Linked DNA regions of Styela clava. The protein of the gene in region 2 purifies or fractionates together with the protein of the main gene of each other region. This does not show direct contact. Links are inferred from orthologs where the notes say so. Each region holds a gene or a part of one and is shown on either strand. Other genes may lie near its edges.

Evidence for each region.
Region 1: the proteins of nucleoporin Nup43-like (region 2) and nuclear pore complex protein Nup133-like purify together in Homo sapiens (affinity purification with mass spectrometry; 5 studies listed by BioGRID and IntAct, counting the BioPlex papers as one, with this or other methods). This does not show direct contact. The link is inferred for Styela clava from reciprocal best matches to the Homo sapiens genes NUP43 and NUP133.

What each region holds. Positions count from the first base shown.
Region 1 is NC_135253.1:7,606,510-7,617,342, reverse strand, and holds the start of nuclear pore complex protein Nup133-like, read right to left. Parts: upstream 3,972-10,833; 5' UTR 3,775-3,971; coding exon 3,629-3,774; intron 3,013-3,628; coding exon 2,879-3,012; intron 2,020-2,878; coding exon 1,919-2,019; intron 1,287-1,918; coding exon 1,029-1,286; intron 635-1,028; coding exon 575-634; intron 208-574; coding exon 106-207; intron 1-105. Other genes in the region: uncharacterized protein LOC144421998, read right to left, coding at 6,189-6,286, 6,842-6,986, 7,186-7,356, 8,128-8,273, 8,345-8,454, 8,820-8,967, 9,091-9,279, 9,839-10,039 and 1 more. UniProt on the Homo sapiens protein: Involved in poly(A)+ RNA transport. Involved in nephrogenesis.
Region 2 is NC_135250.1:22,086,569-22,096,483, forward strand, and holds the start of nucleoporin Nup43-like, read right to left. Parts: upstream 4,239-9,915; 5' UTR 4,148-4,238; coding exon 3,925-4,147; intron 625-3,924; coding exon 530-624; intron 1-529. Other genes in the region: complement factor H-related protein 2-like, read left to right, coding at 6,496-6,556, 7,343-7,534, 7,896-8,084, 9,231-9,285, 9,692-9,722. UniProt on the Homo sapiens protein: Component of the Nup107-160 subcomplex of the nuclear pore complex (NPC). The Nup107-160 subcomplex is required for the assembly of a functional NPC.

The DNA.
Region 1 (10,833 bases), on a different chromosome or scaffold from region 2:
TTCGAACTCATGCATGGTAATCAGAGGTGCGTTAGCAAGCATTTTTCCAAGCATAATGCGCCTGACTGCCAATGTTGATAAAAATTTAATAAAAAGAATAGTCACATCAATTTCTTGACTGGATGAAAAGAAGAAAGATGAAACCCTTCGACCTATTCCTGCCAACATTCCATGAGAAACTTGCAACCTGGCACAATGGACAGAATCCTGCAATATAGAATTCAAATTATTACAGAAATTTTTTTATAAATGATGTGAATCTTACAGTTACTTCAAAGAGAAATATACATATTTTAGTTTGGGAAGAAGATGATCTGAGACATCAAATTTCATTAAAGATGTGAAACAGAGCTTTTTTCAACAATATTTACCCCTTTGTGCCAGCAATGATTTGAGCAAGCGAGACGACCTCTGATTAAATGTAGTATTAAATTGTAAGCAAATTAGTGAAAAATTTTGTCTCCAACTCAATTCCAATTAAAGTAAAAAAGTAAAAAATTAATTTGTTTGACTTTTACACACAAAAGCAGTCCAGTGTGATTGGATAATTAGAGGTATTACTGGTGCGACTTACCAAAGAAGGTATAATATGAAACAATGCTCCTTTACTGGTACCAACAAGATATCCATGCCCCTAAAACACAAACAAATGAGGTTAGTCAATCCCACAAAAACATGAAAACTGATGTAAAATCTAAGAAGCAAGATATTTAAAAAATGTTCTACTAGAGACCTAAATTAGCCGCTCGCTCGAAGAAACCAGGTTACTAGGATTTGCAATATTCAGATCTATGTTAAGCTTCACGACATGGATTTGTCTACAATACATATATATTATTGTTCTACAAGGTTCTACATTGCCACTAGTTATAAAAGTATCTATATTCAAATCATTGGTCAGCTCCACATAGCAAATTCAGAATATCATTAAACCTGACACTATCATAACCCATTTTCTATAATACAGAATACCGTAATGTATGAGTTTTGATAAATAGTAGTAAAGTATATGAACCAAAATTACTCACCCGTACTGAAGCTAATCTAATGCATTCTTCATCGGAAGAATTAGCACCAATGCCATCTAAATTTCCTTCAAGAGTAGACGATACATTTTGAATTATATTTGGCCAGAATCTGACTCCCCCTGCGGGAGTAACCACAAGCAAACTGACAATTCCTTCATCTGGTGAATCGGTGGCTTTCCCAACATAAATTAAACTGGACTTATGCTCGCCATCAGAAGAACTCAGAGGTGGCAATGCAAATTCTTTGCAGAGAGCATTCTGTAAAAACAGAATTTACTCTGAATTTCAACACCAACAGAACATACAAGATAGCGATCAGAGACCGCCGACTTATCGATCTAGCGGCGTGTATTCTTCGCTCTGACTCAATAGCGACAACGAGTGTCCCATCACTAATCAATTATTAACTCGCTAATTATACGACATAATTCATCCAAAATCAATAGGCTTTTGGTGAGATATGATGAATGCATATGCAAAATTTGGAGCAGATTCAACCTCGTTTATCGTGAGATATCGCGTAACTTCGATCAATATCGATGAGATCGTTGTATAATACCACTTTCAATAATTACATATCGAGGGTTTCAAGACAGAAGGGCGAACATTGAAATTCAGAAAAAATTATACTCTACAAAATTACAAACAAATAGATTATTTTCAAGCCGGTGTCTAATCAAAAGTTTGAAGTAATACTTGCCAAAAATATAAATTTGAAACTTGAACACAAAAAATTGTGTTTTAGATTTAGAAAAGTCAAAAAATATTAGTTATCAACTCTAGTTCAAAAAAACAAAGACCAAATCCCGTGAAGAATGTCTACATTAAACACAACTGAATAATATTTCAGTATATAACATAAACTGTGCATAAAATAAAACATGAAATACCTTTGAAACTCCTTGTTTAAATCTCCATACAAAAAGTTTTCTGCCACAAACCAACCAAGCCCATCCATTGTCATTTATTTCAACTGTTATTCGCTCTGATTCTGAAAAAATAATTCAATATTTTTAACACTATTTTTATCATATTTCATGAGTGTGATGTGGCAATTTAGAAATGGCTCTTCCATATTTCTTACACAATTCTCACACAATATCATTTCACATTACAATTTTAGAACAATGTAGAAAATCAGTAAACAACTTGTTTGCAAATATTTAAATAACATGATATAATCATCTTGTATATATACAAGCCAATGCATTCTATTCATTGAATGTATGGAACACCTCGAATTCAAAAAAATTTTCCTCAACCCTTGCCACAAAACAAGTAATACTTGGTCAATAATACTTGTTACTTATCGATCCCGATCGGTAAGTATGTTGATAGGTATTTTTCTGTCTGTTTAAGTGTTAGACACATTTTCCTATGCTATGTGATATCTCACGAAAGCGAGGTTGAATCTGCATACATCAAATCTCGGACCAGACGCCTATTGATTTTGGATGAATTATGTCGTATAATTAGCGAGTTATTAATTAATTAGTGATGGAACATGCGATGTCGCTATCGAGTCAGAGCGAAGGATACACGCCGCTAAATCGATAAGTCGGCGTTTCCGATCGCTATCTCGATTTCAATATAAATAGTAATTCATTCTGTAATTCAACATTATGTTAAAGCGGGTGTAAAAAAAAATAAAACGATCGGCCTAACTAGTAATTTAAACTAGTAATTTTTTAATAATACACATTTTCTACAAAAAAAATGATTATATACTTTGTCAGTCTCCACTTTAATTGTAAATAAAAGTAAATGTATTTCATTCATCAATAACCTGAATAGTTACTAGAAAAAAGTTAAAACTAAAAGACTTCTAGTTACAAGTTTAAACATCTTACTATCTGCAAGGGTGATGGCTTCATTGACAAGAACAGGCAAAGATGATCCAGCAGTTTCAACTGTATAATTTGTCGTATTGTAAACAGTAGAAACAGAAGGTGATCCAAGTATCGAACTCTCAGCTGGAGATGACCTGAAATTTGAAGTTTCACCAAGTTCAGAATTTGTAAATTGTTTATAGTTGTTACATTGCAATGATATTACTATGCATCTGTACTTTGTAAGATACATTGTTTAGAACTGGAAGATGTCCATTATTTATTAGTTCATTATTTTAGAACTGATGTGAAATACAGATTATTTTTATTTTCATTATAAACAACATACATGAAAATTATACACAAAAGTTTGAAAATAATGAACACACCAAAGATTGGGAACATTTTGAAAACTGGCAAAACATTTCAAAAGGTTTAACACGTGAAAACACAGAAATACATGTGCCAGTTTACCCTGTTACCCTTAAGTATTACATAACATTAAAACTTACTGAAAAATAATGGCTCATATTACAGTATTAGATACAAAAAATTAAATTAAACAACAAAGTTTCAAATACTCTATTGCTGGTTGAGAGATGACCAATTTTTTAATGAGCAAAAATATTAAAATATATGGCCAAGTCCACCGAATTAATTATAAATTGCCACCAATTCAGCAATTGCAGAATTGGATGAATGAAACATTATAAATGTAAAATTAAAAGGATTATATATAGCCTATATATATGTGTGTGAAGTACTTCCTACCTTGGATATAAACCAGACCTCCTGACAAGAGATGATTTCGATCCAGTCAGTTGAGAACGCCTTGGGGTCAATGTGAATGGAGCGGCTGAGCGTCTTCGCGAGGACCCAGCTGAACCAGGTGTATGCGTACGGCTAGGGGTAAACATTGTAGTCCACAGGGATATTCAAGTATTGAGATAGCTGATGCTAAAGTCCTGTAGTCGGAGGTAGCTGGCGAAACTCGAATACAGGAATAAGATACCGGTACAGTATCTCGGCATCACAACAATAGCTCAGACCTTTGAATTCAATCCCGCGCGGCGAGCCAGACAGTTGTGACGGCATATCCAAAATAGTTTGCGCATTAGCGCCGGATATATAACCGGCAAAGTTGAGCCGGCACATCTTTTTGCTTGAAGAACGGCTATCTACTTAGACTACAAATGTATTACTTTTTAAATCAATGTTTTTCATAAAATCCGCGCCTGCTTAAAAATCTGAATTAGGGGTCTCCGAGGTAACTAATGAGAAAATTCATTTTCTCATACGCTAACACCAAGAATGAGAATGAGAAAGAGCATTCTGACTATAAAAATTTCATACAGAACCCTAAATATTCTCAAATTTTGTATAAATCTATATGTATTTGTGTGTGAAATCCTATGGACCTTTCCCCGAGCATCGACTTCCTTGTTTATTTCGTGACATTGGCCAATCATGCTCCCTTTTCGCATCCGATCAGACACTTTTCCCACAGATTTTTAGGCGTGGTCGCGAACATTACCTTGTTTTCGCGTTTTTGAACTCTATTCGTTAGTTTTCAGTTGTGTTTCGGAAATTTAAATATAAATCAGATAATTCAATGATCACTCTGTCTTCTAAGGAGTTTTAACTTGATTGCAGTATTAAAAAATTAATGTATAAATAGCTGTGACATACTAGGCTAAAATTTTTTATCGGTACTTTTAAAAAACAGTTGAGTATAGGGAAATCGGGGGTTTAAGGTTGGGGAGTGGTCCATATTAATATTTTAAACAACTTGCAAGGCGACTCAAAATCAAACTCACAACCGCATAATGTCACCTATTAGGCGGTAACATTTGGTCTAAATAGCTCGTCGAAAAGTCTGTATATCGCACTTGTTCATTCATCTAAAATGATTATTCATGCACACACATAGGCTACCACAGAGACGTGATTAAATTTTAAAAAGATAATATATTAATTTTTAGGCGGAAGAAAATATCACAAGGACCCAGCTGGCCACCACAGAGACGTGATTAAATTTTAAAAAGATAATATATTAATTTTTAGGCGGAAGAAAATATCACAAGAAAAATTCTTGCCTCACCTAATTACAAATTTTGCGACGATTGCCAAACTGGATACCGTTACCTGATTTGTTTCATTCTGTGAAAAATAGCCCATTAATTAAGTCCCCGGTTCTACAATAACAAGTTTATACAATACACATGCCATTTCGTGGAACTAACGACTAACTAACGTGGAACAGATCCAAGAGAACATGCTGGTAACGTACTTACACTCGGCGTTTGAGCATGGTCATTATGGTTAGAACGCATGGTTACTTTCACCGATCAGTTGTTCTTTACATGGTTGCGTATTTCGAGTTTATTTTTTCTTATAGAATTGTTTCTTTGCAATATTTGCTGCTTGAATTCTGCAACGCACGATGACATTCTGAGTCTTTTGCGCCATGCATCATTAACTGCTATGAGTCAATGTTTTTTTGATTTTGTTAGGTTTACTTTATCATATGTGGTTATTGCTTTACATTGATTCTTGCACAATGAAAATAAATATCTAAACCTGGTCAGTTACGAACTTGCTCACGAATTATCTAGCCACTGGGAATCCGTGACTTCAAAAATCTTTCCCTCGGGTTTTTATGGTTCACTTTGTTCCTGTATATCTGATCTTACAAATCCAATAGCAAGCATGCATTACTAATTTTAATATCCATTCCCAATGAAAGGATTTTGTTACCGACCGATGCAAGCCTTTTCAATAAAAATATCATTTTTGATGTACATTGATTTAATGTTTTTCGCTTTGTGAAAACCAGCATGTTTCTTCCATAATTTTGACAAGAACTTTGGATACATTGGTCCAAGCCTATTCCTTTTTCAAGGTATTACGAAATGTTTACGCACAAGCAACCTCTTGTGCACTCGAGTCAGATAGCTCAATACCCCTGCAGTGTTTGGCAAACTGTGAGTCGCAGAGCATTTTCTAGTGGGCCTCCAATAAATTCAATCCAATCAATATTTACCGCTCGTTCTATCAGTAGATTGTATACACTTCTAATTCAACTCATTTCTAATTGGGAAAGTCAACATTGGGCAATAACTTCAGACTGTACACATATCTATCGAGCAAAAATATATAAAGTAGGCTACTATATATTTAAGTACATTTTATTGGGAAAAGCAATGCATTCAGAGGTATAAATAGCTATGATAGATATACTGTGAACAGACTATTCAGAAATACAGAATATATTCATCAGGTTCATGATCATGTTTTCATAATTATATCAATCAGTGTTTACAAAAGATATTCAATCTTGACAATGAACTGTGACTGTGTCTTTAGTAATCAAATCTTCATCATCAGTTGGACTTGGTGGGAAGTATCCATGAGGATATTTATCAATATCTAAAAGTGAAACAAAATGATCAATTAAATGGAAATATAATCAAGACTACCCCTTTTTTACTCACTCCACACTGAGCTGATAATGAATTGCTGTACTCAATATATTCTAAAAATAGTTTATATATTTGAAACTGCCGAACAGGCGACTGTAATTGCCTGCCACTTTTTTATCCTTTTCTATAACATCATTATAAAGTCATAGTCAATTAATCATGAGTTGAAATGAAAACTATACAACTTGAGGTGCCTAAAGTTTAGGTCTTGGATTATATCAACAAGTATATCGACGGCAGATATGAAATTGACACTGTCACGCTTGAGTATATCATAACCTGTGACAAACAATAACAAAATAGAAAATTTAATTATCGGAAGCAAAGATAGATTTTATAGAAAATGTGTATGTCATGAAGCGATATGTTATTTTTATGTACCACTTCTATTTGAACTAAATAACAAAAATAGTGTATGGACACATACAAAGAACATTTTCAAATCATCAAACAACTCAACCCTGAAAACTTTCACTTAAAGTCAACAATTTCCATAGCTTACCATCTGAGTGAAGTGGGCATCCATCTATTTCTAATTTGAAGCATATAGTTTCAGCATTGCCTTCAATTGCAATTCCATGATATACAATCGATATATTAATGAACTGAGTCATTATTGGAATTTCAAGTGGGTGAAAAAGCCTCAACTGCAAAATATAATTCATTTATTTAAAATGCTTAATAAAAGAGAAAATATTAACTTATATGTACCAATTGTGTTTTCATAAAAGTCATTTGGTAGAGTATTCTAGAAAATGCAAGTGATTGTATTTCAAATACCTACTCTGGTATTAAGTAGCTGAAAGTAAGTGATATGTAAATCTACAAGCAATATATATAACATACTTGGCTAATTTCAAAAGATATTCCAAATAAGTTTTCTTCATCAATCCCATAAACGATATTAGCTACTGAAAAAGAGCTATTTATATCTGTAGAATTGGTGAATCCATTCATTGTACCGAGTAGACCGATGAGATAGACTTTTGCAAGAACTGTCAGGTCAATGTTGATATGCTTCAAAAAAACAAAATGATATTGAGTTTATATTTTTACTCGTAACATTATACACACATGTACTTGCACGTGGATACTTAGTGCTAGGGTCTTGAATAGATTGTTAGCGAACAATCAAATAGTTGATATCACAATGTCCAATCTTATTATTATCAGCCTAATTTGGTTGTGAGTAATTAATTTGGATACCCTGGCCATTGAATGGTACAGCAAGCCTTAATCAATATCAATTGCATAAGCCATCATGCTATCATCGAAAGTTCTGTTCTATTTATGCACATCACTGCAAACCCATACAAGACATTTAGTAGTAGAATTCAAATTGTTTTTTCAACTCTACAAGATATCCTGAACTGTAACTGAACGAATTTAACAAAAACTAGAAAAGGTAATAAATTTTATAACAAAAATATATTATAAAAAATGCTTGAAAAAGTTATAATTAGAAAATTGACAAAATAAAATAATACTCCACAAGTGGTGATTCTGAAATGAAAGATGTGAGTTTTGAGTTGTGCAACCTTCAGAATTTAAGATTTTTTTACCTGACTGCAAATGAACTACCGTACTATCTTAAAACATTGACTCTAATATCACATTTTCAAGATACCTGTAAAAAGCTGTCCTTCATGATATTTTATCTATAACATACTCAAATGTATGAACTCAGGAGAAGGTGACTTTATATGAATGATTGGATGGAGTAAAAATGTTAGTGATCGTAAATAACCATAATACAATGAACATGGAAATAAATTAGGTATATCTCACCATGATTCCCCCAGATTGTGATAATCTGAAGCAATAATCTGTATTTTCTTCATTATGAATGGTATTTTGATGATCCTTTGATATATTATGCCTCAAAGAAACGTAGAATGATCCAATTGTTTTTATGATAGGTTGAATACAGTTGTCTAAATAGAATTATGTGAACTATCATATTCAGTTTAGTACTTATTGATCAAAAATAGTTTCTAAATCTAACCTTGCATAATTTTCCTTTCGAAAAAGTCATAAGTTCCAGAGTTTTGCTTCAAAACCACAGATGAAATAGAAAACAGATAATAACACATTGTGCCATTAAAAAGAACATATCTGTAATTCCATTTTAACATAAAAAGCTTGATATTAATGAATTACACTCAGATAAAATTAGAAAAAAATGAATAAAAAGTATTCAAAATGGAAATAATTCAAATAATAATAAATTATTGTTACAGACAGAAACTAAATATGCATCAAGTTGCCTAAACATTCTCAACAGGCACTTGAAGGAGGCTCACATAGAATCAAAATTTGGTTTTGTTGAAGTCAATATTTTTGTCATCCAGGAGATGGCTCCGACTTGGGAGTTGGGTGGAGAAATTTATCCTGATTACATAGAATTGATAATAACGATAATCATATAAACAATATTTACGGTAAATGAAAAATAGTTTAAATCATGAAGCTCACATTACCTGCACTGTTTTGTTACTGTTGTAACCTTCATACAACTTTCCATGCAATGTTCGATATTTTGTGTCAGAAGAGAGTAAACATTTAACAATGCATCATTACCGAGTTCAGCCTTCATATTTCTTCCAAGATGATAAAATTCAGACTTGACTAAATGGTATAACAAATTTTCTCTAATTAACTAAGATCCGACACTGCTGCTTATCATCAAATTCAGAACCAAAATAGTATATTAGCTTAATTGATTTAATGTCTCAAACTATTAAATCTGACCTGATTTAAGAATGGCAGGATATTCACAAATGTAATAATTTTCATTATCACAAGGTTCAGTTTCCCAGTGAATTCCATAGTTGCAAGTCATGACAGCACACAAATCAGCATTAAATTCTTGATTTTTCAAAAAATGGTGATACCGAACAAAAGATCCATCTATCCACTCTGCTAAATTATCCTTTATTCCTGCAAAATAAATCGAAAAAACATTTAAGTCTGATATCCTGCTTCAACAACTTGTAATATATATTTTGATTCATGTTATGCATATGTTATAGAAAATACGATGTGGAATAATATTTTCAACTGTTTTTTCTATATTCAACTGTTGCTCATTGCAAAAAAATCTGATTTATTTTACAATACTCATTTAAAATTTTGTTCAAGGTAAATGTAACCTATTGGAAAGCAACAGTAATATCAACGGGCTAAGCGTTAGGAATACGCTCCCCACCGCACCTCTAATTACTCTGCGTGGGTTCGAATCCCATGCAGGGATGGTTATGTGCGCGAGGATTGCTGGACTCCTCGCCGTCGTTGGGTGGTTCACGTAACCGCTGGTCGGTTACGGCTTCCTCCACCACCAAGTCCATGCTTCCGAAAACAAACAATACAGTAAAAACTAATCCCATACCCGAATTGGAATGGTAACCGGACGAGAGGCCGTGGTTCGCCATATGGATAAGCCGTCTTATCGGCTTTCCTCTCTTCGGGATAAATATGTAAATCCTATCCTATCCCTTACCAATAAATGCTCTGTCACATTTATCTTCTTGATACATTAGATGTTTAACATAGTTTTCCATTTCTATAGAGTTGATGATAGCAAGATGTCCTCCATCAGTCTGACAAGCACTTTGGGCACCAAGCCAATTTGCTTTATATTGTGAAAGGCCCCATCTTCTTCCAGTAAGAGGTTCAGTAAAAAATGATTCATTTTGGTGAGCTAGAATAATAAAAAAATCAAGGCTTCGAAAATCAAAATGTATAGCAGGCCATCGTGTTTACAGTGAAACAATATATATATACTATCTTATATATATCTAAAATTTTTTTTTAATACAAACCAGGACTATCAAGGTCTATCACACAATCACGCTTGATTCCAGACCATGGCTGTAATATTCTTCTTGTGCCAATATCATTAGATTGTAAATGATTCAATTTGAAACTTTTTCTCATTCCAAAGCAGTATCCTGAATTTATATCACATTTGACATACAATGTTAAAACAGATTGATAATGTTTGAACTATGACAAAAATCTACTTTGATACAGCCATTAGAATGATTAGATAAAATGTGATCTAATATGGATCATGAAACGTTAACATGGGAAGTGTTGCAGATTTTTTCCACTTTTTCATCATTATCTTAATCGAAGCATAATACAATATTGTTCTTTGACTTTTAGGTACAAATACATTCACTTACATCATACCTCGCTCTTTAGCACAGAGTATCACTGCTTTTCTTACATATAGTACAAGTATTTTAGAGCGAGCAACTTCTGTCAACAAAACTTAATTAAGAAACTATCATGAAGCATCCATAGTCATTTTACGTATCCACATAAAAACATTTAAGTTACTTAGGATTTCTTTGTTTGTTCGTTTTGAGACCTGTTCACCAATACACTATCAATTACAATACATAAATACGTAGGTCCAAATCTTAGACTTATCCCAGACTAGTAATTCAAAATGAGTGTTAAATTTGTCAACCAATGACCAAACACATA
Region 2 (9,915 bases):
AACAAAAAAATTGATATTTACAGAATGAAGGAGAACACAAGCCACAATGTATTTGCAGCCAGGATTGGACCTAATTATAGGACGTGTAGGATAAAAATCTCAGTTTACCAGAAATATTCAAGACCTTTCAGAAATAGTAGCTCCTGAGTACAGGAGCTGGCAGTAAGTATAAGGCTGAGAATTGAGAAAGATTGAACATCGGCATACAAGATGCCAGAAGGCTTGGCCTGATGACCCTTAAATTAGAATAGGCAATAATTTTTGACACATTACCATTGAATGAGTGAGTTTATTAACCTATGTTCGAAATTATCTGAAACAAATTAATCTTTTAGTGAAGGGTAAGCGAAAGAGGAATTGTTTTTATTCAAAACAACTGCACAATACAAACATTGAAACATCGGTACTTACTTATTTAATAACAGAATTGGAACAGATGGTTATATAATTTCATACATTTCAATCCCAACCCAAATAAATGTCATTTAGTGATAGCTCTGTAGTTTTTATATAGAGATACCATTCATACCTGAGATACAGAATATTTAAGCAGCACAACATCACCATTCCCCAATCCCGCAATGACTGTGTCTGGATCAGCAAAAGTGAGCGAGTCAATATTACCTGAAATAAGAAAAAGTTACTACATATTAGGATAATAAGTTAAAAAAACATGAATATGAAAAGATCACAATACGTGAATTCAGCAAATGCAGTAGGGCACAGTTCTTCGATTCGAAGAATAGCCCCAACATTAAAAGAAATTAATTATAAAAGTGAGTGCCACTTCTTTGAGAGACAGTCTGGGCCTCCATATCCGCAAAATGTCGCTGCGCAATTAACTAAACGAAAGCAAAAAATAATCTGATTTGCTGAAGGAAAAAAGATAGACAGTAGCATTCCAGGGTTTTCGATAAAAAAAATCATAAATTTGGCCACATGACAGCTGACGCACGTCGCGATTGATTTAAATTATTACAGAAACAAAAATGGCGCGATGTTACGTATTTGCAGTCGTGCCAAGATACCCTCGTTTCAAAGACCAATAGAGTTTTTTTTTATTGAACCAAATGTTGGGACATCTCGAAATGACAGAACAGTGCCCTACTGAAATGAAAACTCCACAAAAAGATTTATGGCAAAGCAAGGCTTTCATCCCATTGCTCATGTAGGTCAGATATTGCTGTATTGAGGAGGGGCCGAGGTTAATCTGTTATAATTTCAGGGTGATGGCTGATAAAGTGAGCCTGTTTTATGCATGATATATTCCATCCCCGACCTAATGCACCATTCAAAATTCCTGTAATCAATGTGCCAGTCAAATTAACAGTATTGTATTTAAAATCCACCACTATTTTGGTTACAATTGTATATTTAAGTTATTATTTAATGTTAATTTGTTTCTATTATGGTACCTAATTTTTGAGTTTTAAATCACCGTAATTTTTTAAATACCAGTAAAAGGATTTAAACTGTTATGTTATGACATATATAATTTTATTACCCTTCATAGAACTTCAGGTGCAGAGGTATGCTGGTATGGAAATATTTGAACCAATAGACTAAACCAGGGGTCACCAAACTTTTTTGACCGCGGGCCGGGTATGACTCAAATTGTGTTGAAACGGGCCGGATGAATATTTTTGTCAATGCAATACAATAAATCCACAAAAGTTGGGAATATCGCAGAATATAGATCGAGAACAACCTAGGAAAAAAAAATTAACAAGATTTCTATATCTAGACAACTATCCTGAGTTTAGCTGTTATCAAAACGTTGCTTTCATGAATTAGAAATGTTACAAAATCCGCGGCAAAAAATGTTCGCATCACGTCTACCGTTACGCCGTGTTGAAATACCGCTCATAAAAACGAGTGCCTGCTGTAGCTTGGAATTCTATGAAATTTTGACATAATTTAGATAAAATAAACAACTATTATCTGGTATTTGAATTTTTTCATTAGCGCATAAATTTCCCAACATTCGACGCTTTTAAAAATTACTCTCCAGTTATACGTAGTGCAAATTAATGATATTGTCTACGGACACCAATAAAATTTATATGGACGTGTGTATTTCTTGTCTAACTTGATACTTACCAATTTTTATGAAGTTCGTACAATCAGAACATCGTTAATTATTACCCACAATGAACCACTGTCAAACTATCATGCACAACTCCAGCGTTTATTTGCGACGATCTTTCGGCGGTGTCAATGACCGTTGCCAGAATAAAATCCTGAAATAGTCTCAATATACCATAGATGTGACGCACATCGAAAGATTAGTGATTGATATGTGTTATTTTTCCATATTTAGTTCAGTTCTTATCAAAAAAGTAAAACAATCATTATGGAAAAAATTGGCTGTCGGGCGGTACTAAAATTCCGATATCTCCGTTATTTCTTGACCGTTTATTCCAAACTTGGTATTGTTTTCTATTTTTACTCAGATCTTTCCACTGGAGCAGTTTTTATTCAAGTCGGATGAACTTCAATTTTTTTGTAACATACCTACATGAATATCCGCATTAAAGCAGTACAAAAGTTAGTGTGGCTTTTGAAATTGGAGCAGTACGCGAGGGATTACAGTAATGTTAGCACAAAATGCACATTTGACGTTTATTTTAGCACGAAAAACAAACAGTTTCGTCGAAAGCAAGCGCCACGAGTGTACAAGTGTATCGCGTACAAGTGTAAAACGTTACGTACTAGTAGCATTCAAAGTCGCAAAAACGAAGTTTTGTTTACAACCACGACTGAAAATCTGTCAGAGTGACAAAAGTGTCTGAGCGGATGCGGAAAGGCCTATTATTACGTCACTTTTCTGCATCTTGCCGATTGGCCAATGTTACGAAATAAACAAGCACGACGATGCTCGTGAAAATCTTCCTTGGAAAAAAATTTAGCCATTTTTGCGTGTTATTGCGGACCAGATAAAATGACGCCGCGGGCCGGATAAAATGACGTTGCGGGCCGGATCCGGCCCGCGGGCCGTAGTTTGGTGACCCCTGCAATAGACTAAACCAGGGGTCACCAAACTTTTTTGACCGCAGGCCAGGTATGACTCAAACTGTGTTGAAAGGGGCCAATATTTTTGTAAATGCAATATAATAAATAAACAAAAGTTGGGAAATCCATTCAATTTATTCAAAAATATATATTCTACAATTCTGAAGATTTGAATATCAAATTCTATATCGCAGAATATAGATTGAGAACATCATGGCAAAACAAATATACAAGATGTCTAGATCTTGAAAACTATTCTGAGGTTAGCTGTTAGCAAAACATTGCTGTCATGCATAGCCGCATGTAAGCAGTACAAAAGTTATTGTGACTTGGTAGAATTACAGCACTATTAGCGCAAAATGCACGTTCCACGTTCATTTTAGCACAAGGAACGTACACAGTAACAGTTTCGCCTAAAGCATGCGCCAAGAGTGCATCCTTCGCAAAAACTGTTGCGTACTGGTAGAGAATTTTAGCCTTTTATATAACAGCTATTCCTAGAATAATTTTGGATTACTGCAATTACACTACAACTCCTAAAAAGGAAAAATGATGATTGACTTATTCGATTCATACTTAAATTTCCGAAACACAACCAAAAACCAACGAATAACATTTAAAAACTGTCTGAGTGGATGCAAAAAGGCTTATTGTTACGTCACTTTTTGCATCTTGCTGAATGAACAATGTTAAGAAATAAACAAGGAAGTCGATTCTCGGGGAAACATCTCATGGAAAAAAATTTCGGAAATAACTTTGTTTGTGTTGTTGCGGGCCAGATGAGAGGACGCCGTGGGCCGGAACGGTCCCGCAGGCCGTAGTTTGGTGACCCCTGGACTAAACAGATATCGAACTTCAGCAACTTGTTTTGTATAAAAAATGAGCTTAATATAATTTGATGTTTATATCTACCTGGTACCCTGCATTTATGAGCGCATCTCAACTTATCAGTTTCCAAGTTTTCATCTTCAATGGCGTCTCCTCCTTGCACCGACCAAACATTGATTGTATTTGTCTTGTTTTCCCAGCTCCCAGTTATAAAGACGTCGGGTTTCTGTAGACTCGATCGAGTGGGTCTCCATCTTACTTTATTTATTTTTTGCGACACAAATTTCACGTATTGAGGATCACCCATAGCAATAAACAGAGATAAAGGCAAAATATCTGGAAGTAAAATACAGAAAGAAACAAAACGGGCTTCAGAATTAGCGGCAAAGTGGAATGACGGGGAACTCCCTTATCACGGATGATGGGAGTTGTAACCGGCAATTGAGTCCATAATTAAAGCATTGTAAATTAACAAAAACTAATTTTAAGATTGCAAAAATAAGACATAAAAAATGCAAATTTTGTTTATTCAAAAGTCATTTTGAATACAGTCTCCTTGTTCAAATGGCTCGACTGGGTGGCGCATGGTACTCCTGCGTCCTGCCTCCCACCAAAGCGTATAGGCTGCCATAACGTCCTTATTTCTAAGATTTGTCCTTATTTTGACATGTGTCCTTATTTTTGTCTTTATTTTATGTGTAAAGTTCAATTCGAATGAATGATTTGCTAGAAATGCTATTTTACAACCTCATTGTTTGCTACGCGCTCTCATTACTTGATAACAGCGAAATAATTGACACAATGACAGCAACAAAAAAATAGCCTACCGGCCAAAATCAGTTCGTGTAACTTGAATCAAAATATAACTTAAAAGTCAGATGGAACAGATAGTTTCCAAGAATAAAGAACTGCTGGAGCAAATTTTTTCTAGTGCAAAGTATGATTAGACACGTGTCGCACTGGCGTGAATACATTTTGTTTATAACATTTCGTTCTTTGTTATTCCATTATTATGTTTCCCCGATGTCCTTATTTTTGGGTTCATATCGATGGTAGCCCTGCATATAACCCACGCAACCGCACCTCTGATTACCCTGTATAGGTTTGCAGTTTCGAACGCCGACCCCTGGCGTAGGCGATAATTCAGTGCGGGAAGATTGCTGGACTCCCCGTAGCCATAGGGTGGTTCACGTAACCGCTGGTCGGTGGTGACTTTTGACTCAATTAATTGCTTACTAAATACACATCTAGAGTAGGATAAAGTTTTTTTGATATATGGCAAAAAAATGAAGACTACGATAGGAATCGATACCTTACGTTACATGTAATGAAATATTATGGAACTAGCGTATAGTCTCAAATATAATAAGTTATATAGAAAACCGAAACAATTTACTCAATCGTTCATAAATAGAGAAGATACCTAAAAATGAAAGCAATATGTTATTTAAAGAAGAAACGGTACAGTTTCATTTACAAATATTGCAAATTCAATTTAGCCAATCTCGTTTGTTTTGTAACCTTTCACTACAAATTTTAAGTGAAATAAAAGTAAAAATGTTTTGACTTGATACAAAAATTGTTATCCAAATTGGTTAAAATGTTTTGGCTCGTCAATAATCCGATTTTTGAGTAAGCGTACCCTTACATCTTGGTAGACTGTTATTAACAGCGCATTGACAACTTAATTAGCGGCTTTTTTATTAAGCCATATTAAAAATAAATTTCAATATTACTATGAAATTGTGTGTTTATGTTAACGGAGTTTTAATTGAGCCTCAAAGGTTTGTTTAATAACATCACTATGCGGCCCATCGACAGGGTAAAATGCTTTATGAACAGAATTTTTTTACCAAGTATTGATTGTTTTATTGCGAACTTTCATAAAAACGTGGTATGAGTAAATACGAACAAAAAATAAACTAATTTGGATGATTACGTAAGCCCGGGGCATGATGTCTTAAATAAATCTAGATAAGAAGCACAATACAAATTATTTTGTGTCTAAAGCATTTTCTTAAAATATGTACATAATTATTTAAAACATGAAACACATTTAGATTTAGATGGATATTTCAATGCCTTATGTCTATCATAAAGCAACTTGACAAATTCTGTAGCATGAACCATAGCGTTCAATTTCTTCATTTCATTATTGGGGGATGTGGAATAGACAGTTCGGTTTTCCGTATGGACGCAGGTAGATAAATGCTCCTTATATAAATGTTATTGATCATCCATGAATTCTGGTGATTTTAAAATACTTTGGTATGCTTTGAACCGTCGCAGAGAGAGGGAGAACTTTTTTCCCTATATTTACCCAATTGACCTTTTCGCAAGATATTTTGGTTGTATTGCATATTTTGGTATTTTTGTTACAAGAGTTCGTTACATACATTTGTTGTCTTTTATTAATAATCCATGTAATTTCCCTTCACTACCTGTACCAACGCGTGTTTGGCAACAGGATATTATCACTTTGATTATAGTTTTCTAATCGGCGATGTCGTTGTCTTGTTCCGCGGATTTTTTGTGCAAATCGTCCACGATATAAGCCCGCAGGGAAAAGAAGTCTAATATTATAGTGCTGTTCCATTTTTATACTTGACATTGATATAATACATCTGGAGCGAGCGGTCGAATATCTGGATAAAAATGGAAAGAATCCGAGATTTATTTGCACTTGTAGTTGCCATTTGCGTTATACAACTTTCAGGTATTTATTTATTTTTTGTTTTATTTTGTACACGTTTTATAGAAAATTTTAAGTGGAAAAATTCGGCTGCTGCAGAATTAGCAATGATGTGAAAAGCACACAAAGTAAACCGCTGGTGAACAGCCAAATATGGATATAAGAAAAAATGGATAAACTATATAACATTTAGTAGATATATATGCTTATTTGTATAAGCTTCGTAGTGTCAGTCATTTTCTAGTGTTTAAGTCTACTTTAAACATGTTCGCTTTAATATACTTTATATATATATATATATCATTTTATATAAATATTATACACCATACTCGAGACATATCGCAATGTTATGAGTGATATCAAACTCTAAAAAAGAATGATGTACAAAATTGCATCAAGTTCGAAATTTTTATATTTCAATATTACGGATAGCCTGTCTTAGTCTGAAAGGCCGATTTTCCATAACACTTCAGCTAATTATTGATTTCAAAATTTTTGTTCAATATATATACTATTTATTTGAAAAAGAATCAGGAAATAAAATATTTTCATTTTAATACTATTCTTATGAATTTGTTAAACAACTTTATTTTTGTATTCTAAACTGAATATAATTGATTTCTGTCACGCTACAGCATTTATGAACGGATAAAAAAATTTCATCTTTAAATAGAAGTTTGTGTTGAATCTTCATTTAACTACAAATATTGGTTATTAACGACTGCAAAGCAATGGTGTAGTGCTGTAATCAAGGAAATACCTTTGATATAGTATCACATATCACATATTTATATTACAAATTGATTTCAGATGCAGCATGTCAAAAACCTTTGATCAAAAATGGCTACGTGCTTCCTGATTATGGACAACAGAAACTTTACAGTGCAGGAGAAAGGGCCATGTTCTCCTGTTTTTTGGCCCTTCGACGTATAGGACCAGCATATGCTGTATGCCAGGGCAATGGACAATGGACTGAAGTAGCGACATGTTTCAACCCACAAAGTACGACGCATTTTTGTATGACTTATGGTTTTAGTTGATCATGACTATGCAGCGGGTGATAAAAATCTCGTTGGTTTGAAATGATTAAAATTTTGTGGGATAATCCGAATTCCCTGAAATATTTAAATTAAAAAAGAACCTTATTAATACAGTTAAAGGTTATTCATTTTCGATTGATTACTGTTACAAAACAAAAACCAGATTTGGATAAAGTTTGCAAATATCAAATCAATATTGAAAAAAATATATTATCAGTAATGTCTCAATTCCCATTTTTTCAACCTCAGCTGAAAAATAAAATAAAAGTATTGGAGTCTGGAAATTTTCTTTTACTGTATTCAACAAATATGTATACATACAGAGTTTTGTCCGCCCGAAGAGGCAGAGATAAAAAATGGATCACCCTTAAACGGGCCCATTCAAGGAAAATTTTACAATGGAATGGCTGTTCACTACATTTGCAAATACGGTTACAAACTTCCAAGTCCACGGCAATACAAGAATATGTGCAAAAATGGAAAATGGGAATACGTTAAACCGGAATGCAAAGGTATATATTTACAGTTCTCTCTTTTGTTACTTATCGATCTTAAAATCGGTAAGTATGTTGATAGGTATTTGTCTGTCTGTCTGTGTGTTAGATGCACGCGATATCTCACGAAGGCGTGGTTGAATCTGCTCCAAATTTTGCATGTGCATTCATCATATCTCGGACCAGTAGCCTATTGATTTTGGATGAATTATGTCGTATAATTAGCGAGTTATTAATTAATTAGTGATGAAGAGATCTGGATTTTTACAAAGCGAGAGATTTTCGAGACGCGCTGAATGTGTGTGTGCATGTCCGATGCGCAAGTTTTCACGCTAGTGAGCCAGAGAGAAGGATACACACCGCTAGATCGTATCTCGTGATTAATCTTTGAGCATTGTCCATATCTCTCTTGTAACTTTGACGTCGTCGCGATGCGCAAGTTTCCTTCGAGAAATTTTCCACGCTATTGAGTCAGAGCGAAGGATACACGCTGCGAGATCGTATCTCGTTACTTATAATTACTCTTTAAAGTTTAAGCAATGTCCATAAACCTCTATGTCTATCAGGTTAGGGGTTGCAGAATTCCTCACCAAAATATCGCTAGGCTGTGTTTGAATAGCCGTCGCAACCCGGGTTAGCGATGTTGTATTTGACACAAAATATAGGATTGGTAAATAGGCTATTGGCTGGAAACTAATCGAAACAATCCAGTTCCGATTTGCAGAATTCTTCATAAAAGTATTTCCTCGAGTAGTATTTTGACGACGACATGGGGAGTTGGCTATTGTTTCCTACATTTTTGATATTGGCTGAAAACTATTCAAAACAATCCAGTTCGGGTTTGCAGAATTTTTCGAATTGAAACTGCAGTTTCTGTTTTGGGGGATCCCCTAACTTTCGATCGATAAGTCTTCGGTCTCTGACCGTTTCCAACCGAATTCTAGTTTTCATTTTCTTGGTGTTCTTCTTTCTTTAGGCTAGCTTCTTTTTCTTTCATCCAACTTTTATATTTTTCGTCTGCGTTCGACGCTTCCACTTCATCATATTCTTTTTTTTTTCGTTTTTTTTTTTTTTTGTATTCATTCCTTTATTTTTTCATACTTTTCATTTCATTTTTTCTTCTATTTTCTCCGTTTATCATCATTGCAATCCCTTTATTTTCAGAAATCGACTATCGTCCTTTAAGAAAATACTGGGATGAACTTTCATTCGAAGAAAGGTGAATATATAGAATTTTATTATATCAAAATACGATAGTTTTATATAAAGAGAGCGGGAGTAGTGGTATTGGTACGTGCAACTTGATTGGCACTATGAATTGGCATTTTGATATTGTAGTTCCACTTCGAAAAAAATCAGTCTACTCTATTGAACGTTCTCATATATAATTTAAATACGCATCGACAAAAGCATTACATTTTTGAACCGATATAATTTTTAATCTAAGTTTCCCACTGTTTTACCTCATAATATCTGAGTAGTAATTGACAATATTCCAACAACCGAGTATTGTTCACCAATGTTCTATCCTAGGCATGTTTGAGCTGGAATGTGCGTAAGGCAAACAGTTTTTAAATAGAATTCCAAATATTACCCTGATTTTAAAGCAAGAACAATGTTTTCAGGGTCACCTACTACTCCATATTTGGAAAATAAGAATAAGTTGGAAGAATCAATGAACACAACGAATCACAACTATTAAATAAATATATTTTTATTTCATCGTCTCCGCTTTCCTATTTTGGTTGATTATGTGTAGCCAATTTTATTCACATTTTAGCAAATTTGCTCGAATATTATGATTTTTTTAGAATATGAGCTTACATGATGTAAAATTGTTTCACCTGCA